Anolis sagrei: one gene and its partner. The protein of the gene in region 1 purifies or fractionates together with the protein of each later gene. This does not show direct contact. Links are inferred from orthologs where the notes say so. Each region holds a gene or a part of one and is shown in the gene's direction. Other genes may lie near its edges.

The links.
Region 2: the proteins of RMND5B (region 1) and ARMC8 purify together in Homo sapiens (affinity purification with mass spectrometry; 4 studies listed by BioGRID and IntAct, with this or other methods). This does not show direct contact. The link is inferred for Anolis sagrei from reciprocal best matches to the Homo sapiens genes RMND5B and ARMC8.

What each region holds. Positions count from the first base shown.
Region 1 is NC_090022.1:76,387,376-76,394,628, reverse strand, and holds the start of RMND5B (E3 ubiquitin-protein transferase RMND5B), read left to right. Parts: upstream 1-4,180; 5' UTR 4,181-4,362; intron 4,363-4,624; exon of another isoform or gene 4,625-4,628; 5' UTR 4,629-4,675; coding exon 4,676-4,814; intron 4,815-7,253. UniProt on the Homo sapiens protein: Core component of the CTLH E3 ubiquitin-protein ligase complex that selectively accepts ubiquitin from UBE2H and mediates ubiquitination and subsequent proteasomal degradation of the transcription factor HBP1.
Region 2 is NC_090023.1:222,117,580-222,124,879, reverse strand, and holds the start of ARMC8 (armadillo repeat-containing protein 8), read left to right. Parts: upstream 1-4,292; 5' UTR 4,293-4,505; coding exon 4,506-4,550; intron 4,551-7,300. UniProt on the Homo sapiens protein: Component of the CTLH E3 ubiquitin-protein ligase complex that selectively accepts ubiquitin from UBE2H and mediates ubiquitination and subsequent proteasomal degradation of the transcription factor HBP1.

The sequences.
Region 1 (7,253 bases):
TCTCGGTCACTTTCCAACTGGACAGTACCAAAATTGCTTAGAAAATTAAAATCAAAGTAACAACTAATGATATTGCTTTAAATTGCATTATATGGCAGTGGAAATGGGGTTAAAGCAGGCATGGGCAAATTTGAGTCCTCTTAAGCGGCTGAGGGGGAAAAGGAAAGGGCCTGAGGCTGTTAGGAATGGTGGGAGTTGGAGTCCAAAACACCTGGAGGGTCCGAGTTTGCCCATACCTGGGTTAAAGTGATAAAACCTTATTAGATTTTCATTCTTGGAAGTGAGAGTCAATAGGAGAATACCTTGCTATATTCAGGCCTAACTGGCTTTTTGCAATTTTTTTCTTATTTTAAAAAAATAAAAAGTTGATTACAAGGGCCAAATCCACACTTTCCATCTTAAATGTAAGCTGCTGATGTTGTCAATTTCTGCCCAGGCGACTCTGACTCACGGAGACCTTATGATTGAGAGACCTCACTGAGAGACCTCACCCTGTCCTCAACTGCTGTACTCACCTCTTGCAGATTCAGGGCTGTGGCTTCCTAGACTGAGTCTACTCATCTATAATGCAGTTTTCCTCTTTTCATACTACTAAGCATTATCATCTTTTCTACTGAGTCATGCCTTCTCAAGATCTGACACAGCGGATCTCAATCTTAGATAACAATCAATCCACTGGGTCATTGGAAGATCCTAAATCATCTTCAAGGACGATCCTATTTAGCATTGTCGGCTACCAATCCATACATGGAGGTTTTTTTATAAATAAAATTGAAAAAATGAGTTATAAATGGCAGGACATTTTTGACTAAGAGTACAATGTTATGCACAGATAAAAACTATCAAAATGGAATTTTAATTGACCGTAGTGCTCAAACTAGCAAGAGGTCACATGATATTTACTTATTGTTTATACTAGCCATCCCCTGCTACGTGTTGCTGTGGCCCAGTTTGTGTATATGTTTTGTGTGTGTATATGTTTGTATATATTTGTGTATATGTGTATATATGTGTGTTTGCGTATATGTATGTGGTTTTGCACGTATGTTGTAATGTAATTTTTGTTTTTTGGCTTTTAAAGTCTCTTCTGCTGTGTTTTTGGTGTTTTTATGAGTGACGGTCACTTGTTGGCCTGATAGGTGTATTGTGTCCAAGTTTGGTGCCAATTTGTCCAGTGGTTTTTGACTTATGTTAATCCCACAAACGAACATTACATTTTTACTTATATAGACTAGCTGTTCCCTGCTACACGTTGCTGTGGCCCAGTGTGGTGATCTGGAAAATAAAGTAATGAGAAAGTGTTGGTTTCTTATATGTGGGTGGCTTTATAGTGGTTCAATGCACACAAACTTTGTTTCAGGCACAAATAATATGACGAATAATATTGCAGTATAGTAATATATATATATATATATATATAGAGAGAGAGAGAGAGAGAGTAATAATATATAATACTAATATTGTGCTATTGTAATAATATATATAGGAGCCCCTGGTGGCGCAATGGGTTAAACCCTTGTGCCAGCTGGACTAAAGATCGACAGGTCGCAGGTTCAAATCCGGAGAGTGCACGGATGAGCTCCCTCTGTCAGCTCCAGCTCCCCATGCAGGGACTTAAGAGAAGCCTCCCATAAGGATGGTAAAAGATTAAAACATCTGGGCATCCCCTGGGTAACGTCCTTGCAGACGGCCAATTCTCTCACACCAGAAGTAACTTGCAGTTTCTCAAGTCACTCTTGAGAATATACACACACATATACATACACACACACACACATATAATAATAATAATACAATGTAATAATATATAATACAATATAACATATAGCAATATTGTAATATAATATTAATAATACTAATATATTAAATATAATACTGCTGATAATATATAATAATATATAATGATAATACTCATTTATTATTGTATATTTAAGTTGTATTGTAATATTTTTAATTGTGAGCTGCTTTGAGTCTCAAAATGGAAAGATAAAGTGGGATATAAATATATCTATATAAATAAAAATGTAAACACAGCAGAAGAGACTTAAAATGCAAAAAAATACCTCCCAAAAATTACATCACAATGCATGCGCAAAACTACACATATATATGCAAACACACATATATAAACAAATATATACACACACACATATATATATATATACACACATATACAGCCCCCCCCCCCAATCAAAATCCTGGCTACGGGCCTGGGTTAAGCAGTCAAGCCTCTAATGAACTGTGAAGTTGTGACCCTGAGTGTGCCTGGAATGCGTAGGGAGGATCCAGAGATAAGATTTCGTTCGTCCTTCTTACTTCGGTGCTTTTGTCTTGTTTCTGTTCTTTTGGTTGGGCGTCAATGTGAGTGTGTGCTGTATATTTGCTCTACTCAGTAAAGCTATACGTTTGCTTTTACTGAAGTCTCAAAGTGTCCATTCTTCTAAGCTTCAAAGCTTCTGTCGCACTCTGACACATTTGTAGGATTAACATAACTCAGAAAACACTGGGTGAATTGATACCAAATTTGGACACAATACACCTATCAGGCCAACAAGTGACCATCACTCATAAAATCACTGAAAAGCACATCAGAAGAGACCAAAAAAGCAACAAAAAAAACCCACACAAAAACAAACATTACACTGCATGCACAAAACCACATATATACACAAACAAAACACACATACACAGGCAGGCATGTAGCGGGGGGGGGGGGGCTTGAGGGGCTTCAGCCTCCCCCCCCCCCCCGAAATTCTCATGGTGGTCTGCGAAAGGCCTTACTGGTACATTATTTAAACTGTTATGTTTATTCATATCATGATCTGATCACCATGCTCAATATATCCCATATGCATGGGGGTATTGGGGTAATGATACAAAAGGTTTGCTAGGCTAGACCCTCTTTCACTCAGACTCAGCCCCCCCCCCCAATCGAAATCCTGGCTACGGGCCTGTACACAGACTGGGCCACAGCAACATGTGGCAGGGGATGGCTAGTAAATAAATAAAAATTGTTTAAAATATTGTGTATAAAATATTAAGGCTGTCTGTTTAAGGCAGTGTTTTTCAACCTGGGGGTCGGGACCCCTGGGGGGGGTCGCGAGGGGGTGTCAGAGGGGTCCCCGAAGACCATCAGAATATACAATATTTTCTGTTGGTCATAGGGGTTCTGTGTGGGAAGTTTGGCCTAATTCTATCATTGGTGGGGTTCAGAATGCTCTTTGATTGTAGGTGAACTATAAATCCCAGCAACTACAACTCCCAAATGTCAAGGTCTATTTTCCCCAAACTCCACCAGTGTCCACATTTGGACATATTGAGTGTTTGTGCCAAGTTTGGTCCAGATTGATCATTGTTTGAGTCCACAGTGCTCTCTGGATATAGGTGAACTACAACTCCCAAACTCAAGGTCAATGCCCACCAAGCTGTTCAAGCATTTTCTGTTGGTCGTGGAATTTCTGTGTGGCCAGGTCTGATTCAATTCCATCGTTGGTGGAGTTCTGAAAGATCTTTGATGGTAGGCAAACTAGAAATCCCAGCAACTACAACTCCCAAATGACAACATCAATGTACTCCACCAGTATTCAAATTTGGGTGTATTGGGTATTTGTGCCAAATTTGGTTCAATGAATGAAAATCCATCCTGCATATCAGATATTTACATTATGATTCATAACAGTAGCAAAATTACAGTTATGAAGTAGCAACAAAAATAATGTTATGGTTGGGGGTCACCACAACATAAGGAACTGTATTAAGGGGTCGCGACATTAGGTAGGTTGAGAACCACTGGTTTAAGGTGTATATGAAACATTAAATACATTTTGTGTTGGGAGTTGGTCCCATTTCCAAGATACCTCATTATGTATAGGCAAGTGTTTCAAAATACAGTTTTAAAAAAATATCCGAAATCCTTCTGGTTCCAAGTCTTTGGGATAAGGGATGCTCAACGTGTGTAAACAGCACCAGACCTGAGTCACCCAGTGGAAGCACTCAGGCTGACCCTTCTTAATAGGCACTTTTGCTGTTTTCCCCAAATGGGCAAGCCCACGCTTGATTTACCAATGCTCCTAGCTACACCCTCCTGAGCTCTCCAAATCGACCCGCGAAGAAATGGTTCCTTCCAGCGCTGCGCGTCACTTTCGGCTTGGGAAAAAAAAAAGAAGACTGGTTCCACCCAGCTGTTGCCGGCCGGTGGTTCATTCCAGGCACACCCTCCTCCATAGGAATGGTTTGCCCCATCATCAGAGAACTTTATCATGCCGGGACCAAGGGAAGGAGGAGGCGCTACATTAGAACAATAATTATGATCGCCCTGCCCCGGACTGAAGGGAATTGAACGTCTCATCCCGCGGCTCTCAGGTTAGCTTTTCTTGAGTTCCCCCTTTCCCAGCCAAGTGGTATAGCCCGCGTCCCCTATATCTACTATTATGGGGGAATGTACCATTGTTGTATTGGGGGGGAGGAGAGAGAGAGTGGTAGGGAGGTGGCTTGGGTTGGAGGGCTGGGTTTATAAGACACATACGGGTCTTTCTTCAAGTGCCCTCGAAAGGGTCCAATAAAGGGCTGTATAGGGTTGTGTCTCCCTCCTTAACCCCCTCCCCCTCTTTTCCTTTCTCTTCAGCCAGACTAGACTGGAGGCTCTCGCGCTGCTCTCGCGCTTCCTTCCGGACCCATGGAGCGATGCGCCTGCGTAGAAAGGGAGCTGGACAAAGTGCTGCAGAAGTTCCTCTGCTACGGGCAGCACTGCGAGCGGGGCCTGGAGGAGCTCCTCGGCTACGTCACCCGGCTGAGGGAGGAGCTGGGCGCCGCAGGTACAAGCGGGGCCTACTCACAGCCGGCTCCCTCCTTCCTCAACTGGCGAACAAAGGAGTCTAGAGCAGGCCTGGGCCGGCTTGGGCCCTCTGGGTGTTTTGGACTCCAACTCCCACCATTCCTAACAGCCTCAGGCCCCTTCCTTTCCCCCCTCAGCCGCTTAAGCGGCTGAGGGGGAAAAGGAAAGGGCCTGAGGCTGTTAGGAATGGTGGGAGTTGGAGTCCAAAACACCCAGAGGGCCCAAGCCGGCCCAGGCCTGCTCCATCCATTCAGTTTCAAGTGGAATGTGCTCAAGTTCACTGTTAATGGCAGTTAGTGATATCAAACCTCTGGAATTCTGCGTTGAATTGAACAGAAATGGCTGGAAATGGGCTTTGTTGAACTAGAGTTTGGGCAATGCCAGAGGCACAATAACAAAGGATACATTGCCCCACATGCCACCACACAACCAAGTCAATGTACCCAAAGAAACGCATCGTATGGTGATGGTATGAAAGCTGGGTCTGGAAGCTCTGAGTGTTACACTGTTTCCGCTTTGCTCCTTTGGGAGTGCTGTTTGCGCAACGCAGAACAGAACACAGATATTATAGAAGGAATGTAAGAGTTCTTTAATGGTAAAACCCTAACCCTTACCTGAACCCTAATGCTTATCCTAAAACCTAAAGGTTTTCCCTGACATTAAGTCCAGTCGTGTCCAACTCTGGGTGCTCATCTCCATTTCTAAGCCGAAGAGCCGGCATTGTTTGTAAACACCTCCAAGGTCATGTGGCCGGCATGACTGCATGGAGTGCCGTTACCTTCCTGCCGGAGCGGTATATATTGATCTACTCACATCTGCATGTTTTCAAACTGCTAGGTTGGCAGAAGCTGAGGCTGACAGTGGAAGCTCACGCCGCTCCTCGGATTGGAACCTCTGACCTTTCAGTCAACAAGCTCAGCAGCTCAGGGCTTTAACCCACTGCACCACTGGGGGCTCCTATCCTAAACCTTACCCTAACCCTAACCAAACCCTAAACCAGGAGTCCTCAAACTTTTTAAACAGAGGGCCAGGTCACAGTCCCTCAAACTTGGATGGCCGGATTATAATTTGAAAAAAAATATGAATGAATTCCTATGCACATTGCACATATCTTATTTGTATATGTGCAATGTGCATAGGAATTCATTCATATTTTTTTTAAAAACAGTACAATAATTAAGATGAAGAACAATTTTAACAAATATAAACTTATTAGTATATCAATGGCAAGTGTGGGCCTGCTTCTTCACTGATGAGATAGGATTGTTGTTGTTGTGTGCTTTCAAGTCATTTCAGACTTGAAAGCGAGGGCCGGGTAAATGACCTTGGAGGGCTGTATCTGGCCCTCGGGCCTTAGTTTGAGGACCCCTGCCCTAAACCTTACCCTAATCCTAACCCTTAACCTTACCCTAAACTTTATCCTAACCCTCCCCTCCTTTCTATCCTTCCACCAAATGCAACTACGAAGTATATTCCCGCCCTCAGTGTTCTGCTATCCCCTTCCCTTATTCAGAACCGCCATTGCAGAATATGTGTAACGCTCGGAGCTTCTGGACCCAGCTATCATACTATCGCCCATCGTATTTTGCCACATGAGATGAGATAATAATAATAATAATAATAATAATAATAATAATCTTTATTTATACCCTGCCACCATCTTCCCAATGGGGACTCGGGGTGGCTAACATGAGGCCAAGCCCAGAAATAGCAATACAATAAAACGAAAAAGATTTCAAAGAAACAAAATAGCATCAAATTAACACAAGGAATGACAAAATAAAATAAATAATCTCAAAATAACATGATAGAAAATGAGCCCTGCAAACTCCTCTTCCCTTCTGTGGGGATGGAAAACATTAAAGATAATATCAGGACAGTAAATAAAGAGCAATACTCAAAATTCCAGACAAGAAACAATCAGGGCCAGCTAATACCTCGCTACAAAGGATCTCCCAGGCAGCTGTCAGCCAGGTTTTGAAGCTGCAGGGCCATTCAGTGCTAATTAGGGAGCCCCTGGTGGCGCAGCAGATTAAACTGCAGAGCTGCTGAACTTGCTGACAGAAAGGTTGGCGGTTTGAGTCTGGGGAGCAAGGTGAGCTCTCGCTGTTAGCCCCAGCTTCTGCCAACCTAGCAGTTTGAAAACATGCAAATGTGAATTGATCAATAGGTACCGCTCTAGCAGGAAGGTAACAGCCTTCTATGCAGTCATGCTGGCCACCTGAGGAGGCATCTACAGACAACGCCAGTTTTTCAGCTTAGAAATGGAGATGAGCACCACTCCTTAGAGCTGGACATGGCTAAACTTAACGTCAGGGGAAAACCTTTACCTAAGGTGTCCATTTGCAATATTCACACATGCCTCAAGCAGACAAGAGTTCTTTCTCCCACTCTGGGCATTTCAAAGATATATAAACCT
Region 2 (7,300 bases), on another chromosome or scaffold:
TGTGGCCCTCTAGATGCTGGATTACAACTCACGTATTCCTCATCATTCGACGTCATTGGCTGCTATTCATTTTCCAGTCCCAGTTCAAGGTGCAGGTTATCACCTACAAAGCCCTGAACAGTTCAGGATCCATCTACTTTCGTGACCGCATTTCCCCTTATGAACCTGCACGATGCTTTCATCTTCAGAGGAGGCCCTCCTCTCGCTCCCACCTGTGTCACAAGCGTGGCTTGTGGAAACGAAGGAGAGGGCCTTCTCTGTGGTGATCCCTCAGCTTTGGAACTCGCTCCCCAGAGAGATTAGGCAAGCACCCACTCTGGCAGCTTTTAGGAAAAGCTTAAAAACTTGGCTTTTCTGGTGCACTTTTGAAGAACGAGTAACTAATTCCCATGTCAAGTCCTGTCTCAGTGTCAATTGTCTTTCTGATGCACTTTGTCTCATTCCTCAGTTGAGAATAACCTCATTGTTTATCCCAGACGGGTCTCTCATTTAATACAGCACTTTATCTATCTCACCCACGGGTTTTACAATTTTTACTTCTCGCACTTGGCCCGGCTTGCCCTCATTTAAATTCTTGTACTGTTTTTATATTCTGTTTTATTATGCTATTGTTACTACTTTATTGGCTTATTATGTTATTGTATAAGCACATTTATTTGATGTTATTGTGTGTCTTGTATGTATTTTATTTTGCTTTATTGTAATTGCTTGGGCTTGGCCCCATGTCAGCTGCCCCGAGTTCCTTTGGGGAGATAAAGGCAGGGTACAAATAAAGTTATTATTATTATTGTTATTAATAATAATGATTACAGTGAATGGGAATTGGGATATATCTGAAAGGCTGTAGTTTGTTCTGTTTAGTCAGGAGAGTTTAAATTGAGATCCAGGGCTTGTGGATATGGGTTACAACTACCATTATCCCCAGTCTTCATAGCAGATAATCAAAAGTGATGCGAGTTGTTGTTCAGTAACACTTGGAGACCCAAATTGGGTAAAAACTAAGCAGCACTGACCACTATATGAAAAAAATATAGTTGGCCCTCTGTATCCATGGATTCTCCATCCATGGATTCCACAGCATGAAGGCAACCCTCAAGCTGATGTGGTCCTCAATGAAAATAAGGCCCCTTCTGCACTGCCATATAAAATCTGGATTATCTTCATGAACTGGATTATATGGCAGTGTAGACTCATGGCCCCTTCCACAGAGTGGAATAAAACCCATTATCTGCTTTGAACTGGAAGCAGTGTGGACTCAGATAACTCTGTTAAAAGCAGGTATTGTGGGATTTTCTGCCCTGATATTCTGCATTATATGGCTGTGTGGAAGGACCCTGGGTTATCTGAGTCCACACTGCCATAGATTCTAGTTCAATGCAGATAATGTGGGGTTTTATTCAGCTTTGTGGAAGGGGCCTGGTGTTTGAGAGGTTTGGGGGTGTAGGGCCTGATGGTTCTGTGGTGCCCAGACAGAGGGCGTGTTGGAGCAAGATGGTTCTCCAGTTGGGAGAACGGAGGGGGTTTTGGAGCAAGATGTTGTTTCTGAGTCTGGGAATTAATCTACTTTGGAAGCTGACAGGCAGGGAAGGAAGGATAACATGAGCTCATCCGAAGAAGCAGTTGGCTTAGACAGAGATACCAGGCTGCTCCTGCAGGGGAATAAATTTAGGTGCAAGCGAAGCCATGGGAAGGAGAGGCAGAAGCAGGCCTCTCAAGGTCAAAGGAATGCATTCATATTTTGCAGCCTTTAAATGAGAGAGAGAGAGAGAGAGAGAGAGAGCTGTTAGGATTCCAGATCAAGCAACATCGCTACTGGAGTGGGAAACTCCTGTTTTGTTCCTGGTTCATGCTCTGTAAGCTCAAGGCACAAGATTCCTAGTCAAGTTTTGCTTCTTGTTTTAAGGATTTACGTACTGATTCATGCTCTTGTTTTGTTCCTTGTTCTAATGTTCAAGTTGTAACTCTTGTTTTTGGATTTACCTATTGCCTATGGGACTTGCCTTCTATAGTAACAATGGGATTTTTACCCTATTGGCCCTTTCTTATATGTGTTTTATCAATAGTCTCTTTACTCCCACGTCTGCTTTCCTGGTGAGTGCTATGAGCAAGGTGAACCCCTACTGAGGTGCCACACCTGGGTCCACACTGTCAAATAATGCAGTCAATGTGGATTTTATGCAGCTGTGTGGAATAATAATAATAATTTTATTTTTATACCCTGCCTCCATCTCCCCAAAAGGACTCAGGGCAGCTTCAAAGGGACAAGCTCAAAGAGAACAAAGTTAAAACATAACACAATAAGATAAAATCAAAACAAAACAAAATAAGAACAGTGGATTGTAGCAGGTTTTTTGGGCTATATGGCCATGTTCTAGTGTTAGAGACCCTAAATCGGGTCTAATACTTAGGTCCAGGTCACAGGAGCACGTAAGGAAGAAGGCAGTCCCAGGAGAATATCAAAAACAACATTTTATTTTCATAATGGCCACGAGGAAGTCGGACAGCCGTGTTAAGTGCGTGCAGGCACCAACACTTGCAAGTGACTGCCGTACCACTCTTCGGCTTCTTCAAACTTTTATACAACAAGGTAAACAAAGATATTTTGGTCATGGAACGTACTTTTACTCTTTCCAGTCCCCCTCCCATTAACCTTTTGATGAACTGTGCCTTCTTGCACCTGGCCTGAATGTCTGGTTGTCAAAACAACAATTTGTTCTCTTTATGCAGATTTTGCGCTTCACCACAAACCCATTTCCTATGTAAGCTGAGTAGGTTAGCAACTTAATATTTTAGCCACTTAACTCAAGCATAAGCATGTACCATATATGTCACCTCACTCAGGGGGGTTGCAAAACTTCTTCTCTTTTAAGAACATCCTCCCTCTTGCTGACATGTTGCTCTTTCCCTGCAGGGAGATATATCTTTCTTATGTTTTGTTGCCAAAGCTTAGTTATTGCAAAAATCACTCATTGTCTCCTTCACTAGAAGCAATCTCTCCTGACAGTTCACCTGCATTGATGGCAGGCATCCTCAGAGCTTATGAGGTCTGTTGGAAACTGGGAAAATTGGGTTTATATGTCTGTGGGATATCCAGGGTGGGAGAACATCTATATCAGTGGTTCTCAACCTGGGGTCCCCAGATGTTTTTGGCATTCAACTCCCAGAAATTCTAACAGCTGGTAAACAGGCTGGGATTTCTGGGAGTTGTAGGCCAAAAACATCTGGGGACCCCAGGTTGAGAACCACTGATCTATATAAATAAAAATGTAATGTTTGTTTGTAGGATTAACATAACGCAGAAATCACTGGACAAATTGACACCAAATTTGGACACAATACACCTATCAGGCCAACAAGTGACCATCACTCATAAAAACACTGAAAAACATAGCAGAAGAAACTTAAAAAGTCAACCCCCCCAAAAAATACATTACAACGCATGCGCAAAACCACATATATCCACAAACACAATATATAAACATATACACAAATATATTTATTTATTTATTTACTTTATTTGTATACCACTCTTCTCAGCCATTAGGCGACTCAGAGCAGTTAACAACAAGCAGCGGCAAAAATTCAATGCAAACATCATACAGCCATTTAAAAAACAATTAACGCAATAATACACTAAGCAATTAACATCAATAACCATCAATAACCATCAATAAACAACTCACTAGCGTCTCATAACTAAAATCATAATCCAAGCTCGTCATCCGTTGTTCCGATTTCCTATAATTCATTGTAATTCATTGCACTGCCTATTCAAACGCCTGTTCAAATAACCAGGTTTTCACTTTTTTCCGAAATGCCATTAATGAGGGAGCCGATCTGATGTCTGTGGGTATACACACATATATGCATATACACACACACAAAACACATATACACAGACTGGACCACAGGAACGCGTTGCAGGGGACAGCTAGTATCACAATAAAACATAACATCAGAAAAACAATACCATGCTGAGTAATAACAATGATGAGTTAAGAGGGCTCTGAGTGTGTGCAAGGGGCCTTGGAAGTTAAAAGTAGACTTTTCCAGTGTTACTTCCCAGCTCGCCAGTAGGTGGCGCAACAGGACCACACATACGCCCTAGCCTGCCTTCACTCCCCTCCTTCACTACCAAGGACGGCATTGGACAGGTGCCGCCTCTTCTGCGCATGCGCCTGGGGCGGGACGTCAACTAAGCACCGTTGGGCGCAACGCCCCGCGATCTAAAAGTAGAGCAGGCGCGTCACTCTCATGCCACTTCCGGCAATCACCCCGCCTTCCCACCAATAGCGGCTGAGGGCGCATGCGCACTGCCTCGCGAGCGGCGAAAGCTGTTTTTCCTCGTTCGCTGATTCGAGACGGAGGAGAGCCTTCCTTCCCTCCTTTTCCCCCCTCCTCCCTCTTCTCCTCTTGCCGGCGATGTGGTCGCGCGCGGCGTCGGTCGTGACCCCGGGGTCCCTCGCGCGAGGTTGAGCGCCGGGCCGCGAGTGGGGCGCGCCAAGATGGCGTGTGTGCTGGAGGCGCCGCTCCGCATGAGCGTCCTGTCGGTGAGTCAGTCCCCGGCGGGAAGGAAGGAGGGAAGCGGGGCCGGGTAGGGCGGCCTCAGTTGTGGCTCTGAGCGCCTCAGAAGGAGGCTGAGCTGCCCCTGGCCGGCTCCCTCTCTCCCTCCTTTCTCCCAGCGCCTGTCATTCGCTCCCAGAGAGGCTCCCGCCTTCAGTAGTAAGCAGTGCACTCTAGGGCAGGCATGGGCAGACTTCGGCCCTCCCTCCAGGCGTTTTGGACTTCAGCTCCCACCATTCCTAACAGCCTCAGGCCCCTTCCTTTCCCCCCTCAGCCGCTTAAGCCATGCTCCAAGTTTAATCTATATAAATAAAAATGTAATGCTCATTTGTGAGATTAACATAACTCAACCATTGGGCGAATTGACACCAAATTTGGATACGATACACGTATCAGGCCAACAAGTGACCATCACTTATTAAAAACACTGGAAAACACAGTGGAAAAAACTTAAAAAGCCAAAAACAAACAAACAAACATTACAGCACATGTGCATAACCACATTTATACACCTATACGGAAATACATGCACACATATATACACATACAAGACGCATATACACAGACTCGGCCACAGGAATGCATGGCAGGGGATGGCTAGTCTCTTATATATGTATTTCTTGAGCCATGAGAGGTGGGTGACTAATAATCATCGTTATTATCATCAACATCCTCAGTAGGAATAGTTTATATGAACCTATGCATGGAAATACTCCCCACAGCTCCTGCCCACCTTTTTTGCATGATTTATGTAGATATGTGCGTGTGTTTCTGTATATCACCATGTTCAGCTGTCACAGGGCATTGTGGCAGCAGCCTTACTCTTACTGACCCTTACTTCTTGGTGTGTCCATATACACACCAATGTGTATGAGAGAAGATTTTTTGTTTTGTTTTTAGGCGCATTATCTAGCTTTGTATGTGTTTCAGACAGATTATTTTTATTTGTCTAAAAAAAGAAAAAGCAAACTTTGTAATGTGAACATTTATACTGTAATTTACTTTTAAAATTCAAACTAAAGCTGTCTTTTTCCTGAAACCATCATATCTGTAAGAATAATTATATGAAACCATGCTTGCCCTGTCTTCCTCACAGCTCCTTCCTTTTTGAGTGAATTCTGTCGAAAAGAATGTATGCTTCTCTTTGTAACTTGTGTTCAGCTATCACAGGGAATAGTATCATAGAGTTGGAAGAGACCACAAGGGCCACTCAGTTCAACCCCTTTTTGCCATGCAGGAACATACAATCAAAGCACTCCTGACAGATGGCCATCCAATCTCTGCTTAAAACTTCCCAAAGAAGGAGACTCTGCCAAACTCTGAGACAGCATATTATATGGTTGAAAAGCAGTTACTGGTACTGTCAGAAAGTACCCTTCCATTATATGTCTATCATGCACATTAGACCCCTATTTCCTACAGCTCCTTTGTTTTGGAGTAATTTGTTTGTGTGTTTCTGTGTTTAACATGTGTTCAGCTGTCACAAAGAATGGTGCCCGTAACTCTTCATTTCATTGATCTGGTGGTCTTAGTGAGATAAGATTTTTTTTTGTTTTTCAGCACACTATCTAGCTTTATATATACATTTTAGGATTGCTCATTTTTTATTTCTTTCTCTAGAAAGTAGAAATGCAAACTTGGTAACTTTCTGAATGGGAATAAATTGTGTGTGGTAATTGTGGACGGTTCAGACTAGAGCTTTCCAAACATTAAATGTTGGTGTCACATTTAAGACTTGCATCTTTTTTGTGACACAGTTATTAAGTTTTACTAGCAAACCATAGGTTAAACTAACCCTTACAAGAGATATGGGCACTACATAAATTCTAATGATGAAATGTATATGGACACAGCGTATCTCATTTATATTTTCAATTTTTTTGATTTACTGCTTATTTCACATTGACTTGCGGTTTCTCATTACTTCTGTGTGACACATCTACACTGCAACTAACACACAGTTTGGAAAGCTCTGGTTTAGAATAAGAGAGAATCATAGCATTTGAAAAAAACACAAAGGACAGCCGTATCAACTCCCTGCCATGAAGGAACACACAACCAAAGCACCCTGAAAGATGACTATCCAGCCTCTGCTTAAAAACCTCCAGAGAAGGAGACTCTACTACACCCCCAGGCACCATATTCCACTGCTGAACAACTTTCTAATATTTAGGTGGAATCTCTTTTCCTGCAGTTTGAATGGTGGCAGTAATCCATCATTTTGTTGACCCTGGTTTTGATGAAGATAATTTTTAATTTTTCAGCAAACTGTCCAGCTGTGTTTGAGTTTTTAGACAGTATTTTACTTTTTTAAAAATTCTTTACAAAATGGAAAGCAAATTTTGTAACATGTCTTCATTTTCTTCATGGGGTTAAATATAAACTATGAGGCATAGTTAATTACACACATTTTTATGTTTAATACCTTAAAAGTAATTAAAAAGTATCTGCAGTATAATGGAAGTGACTAGATACCAGTCTTTTGTTTTTGACAATTGGGCGGGAAACAAGTACAAGCCCTGCACTGCAATTCTCTTTTCTAGCTTTAGCCAGATAATGCAATGCTTTCCAGTATGATCTCTCTGTATCATATATATGTATATTAGGTTGTATGCCTTTATGAGGCCATATTTGTTTTGTATAGTGCCATGAATATTAACAGTGCCATATAAATAATAATCTTAATAGTGCAATCCTGCCTTGGACCTGATGGCCCTTAGATCTCCTTCTCACTCTA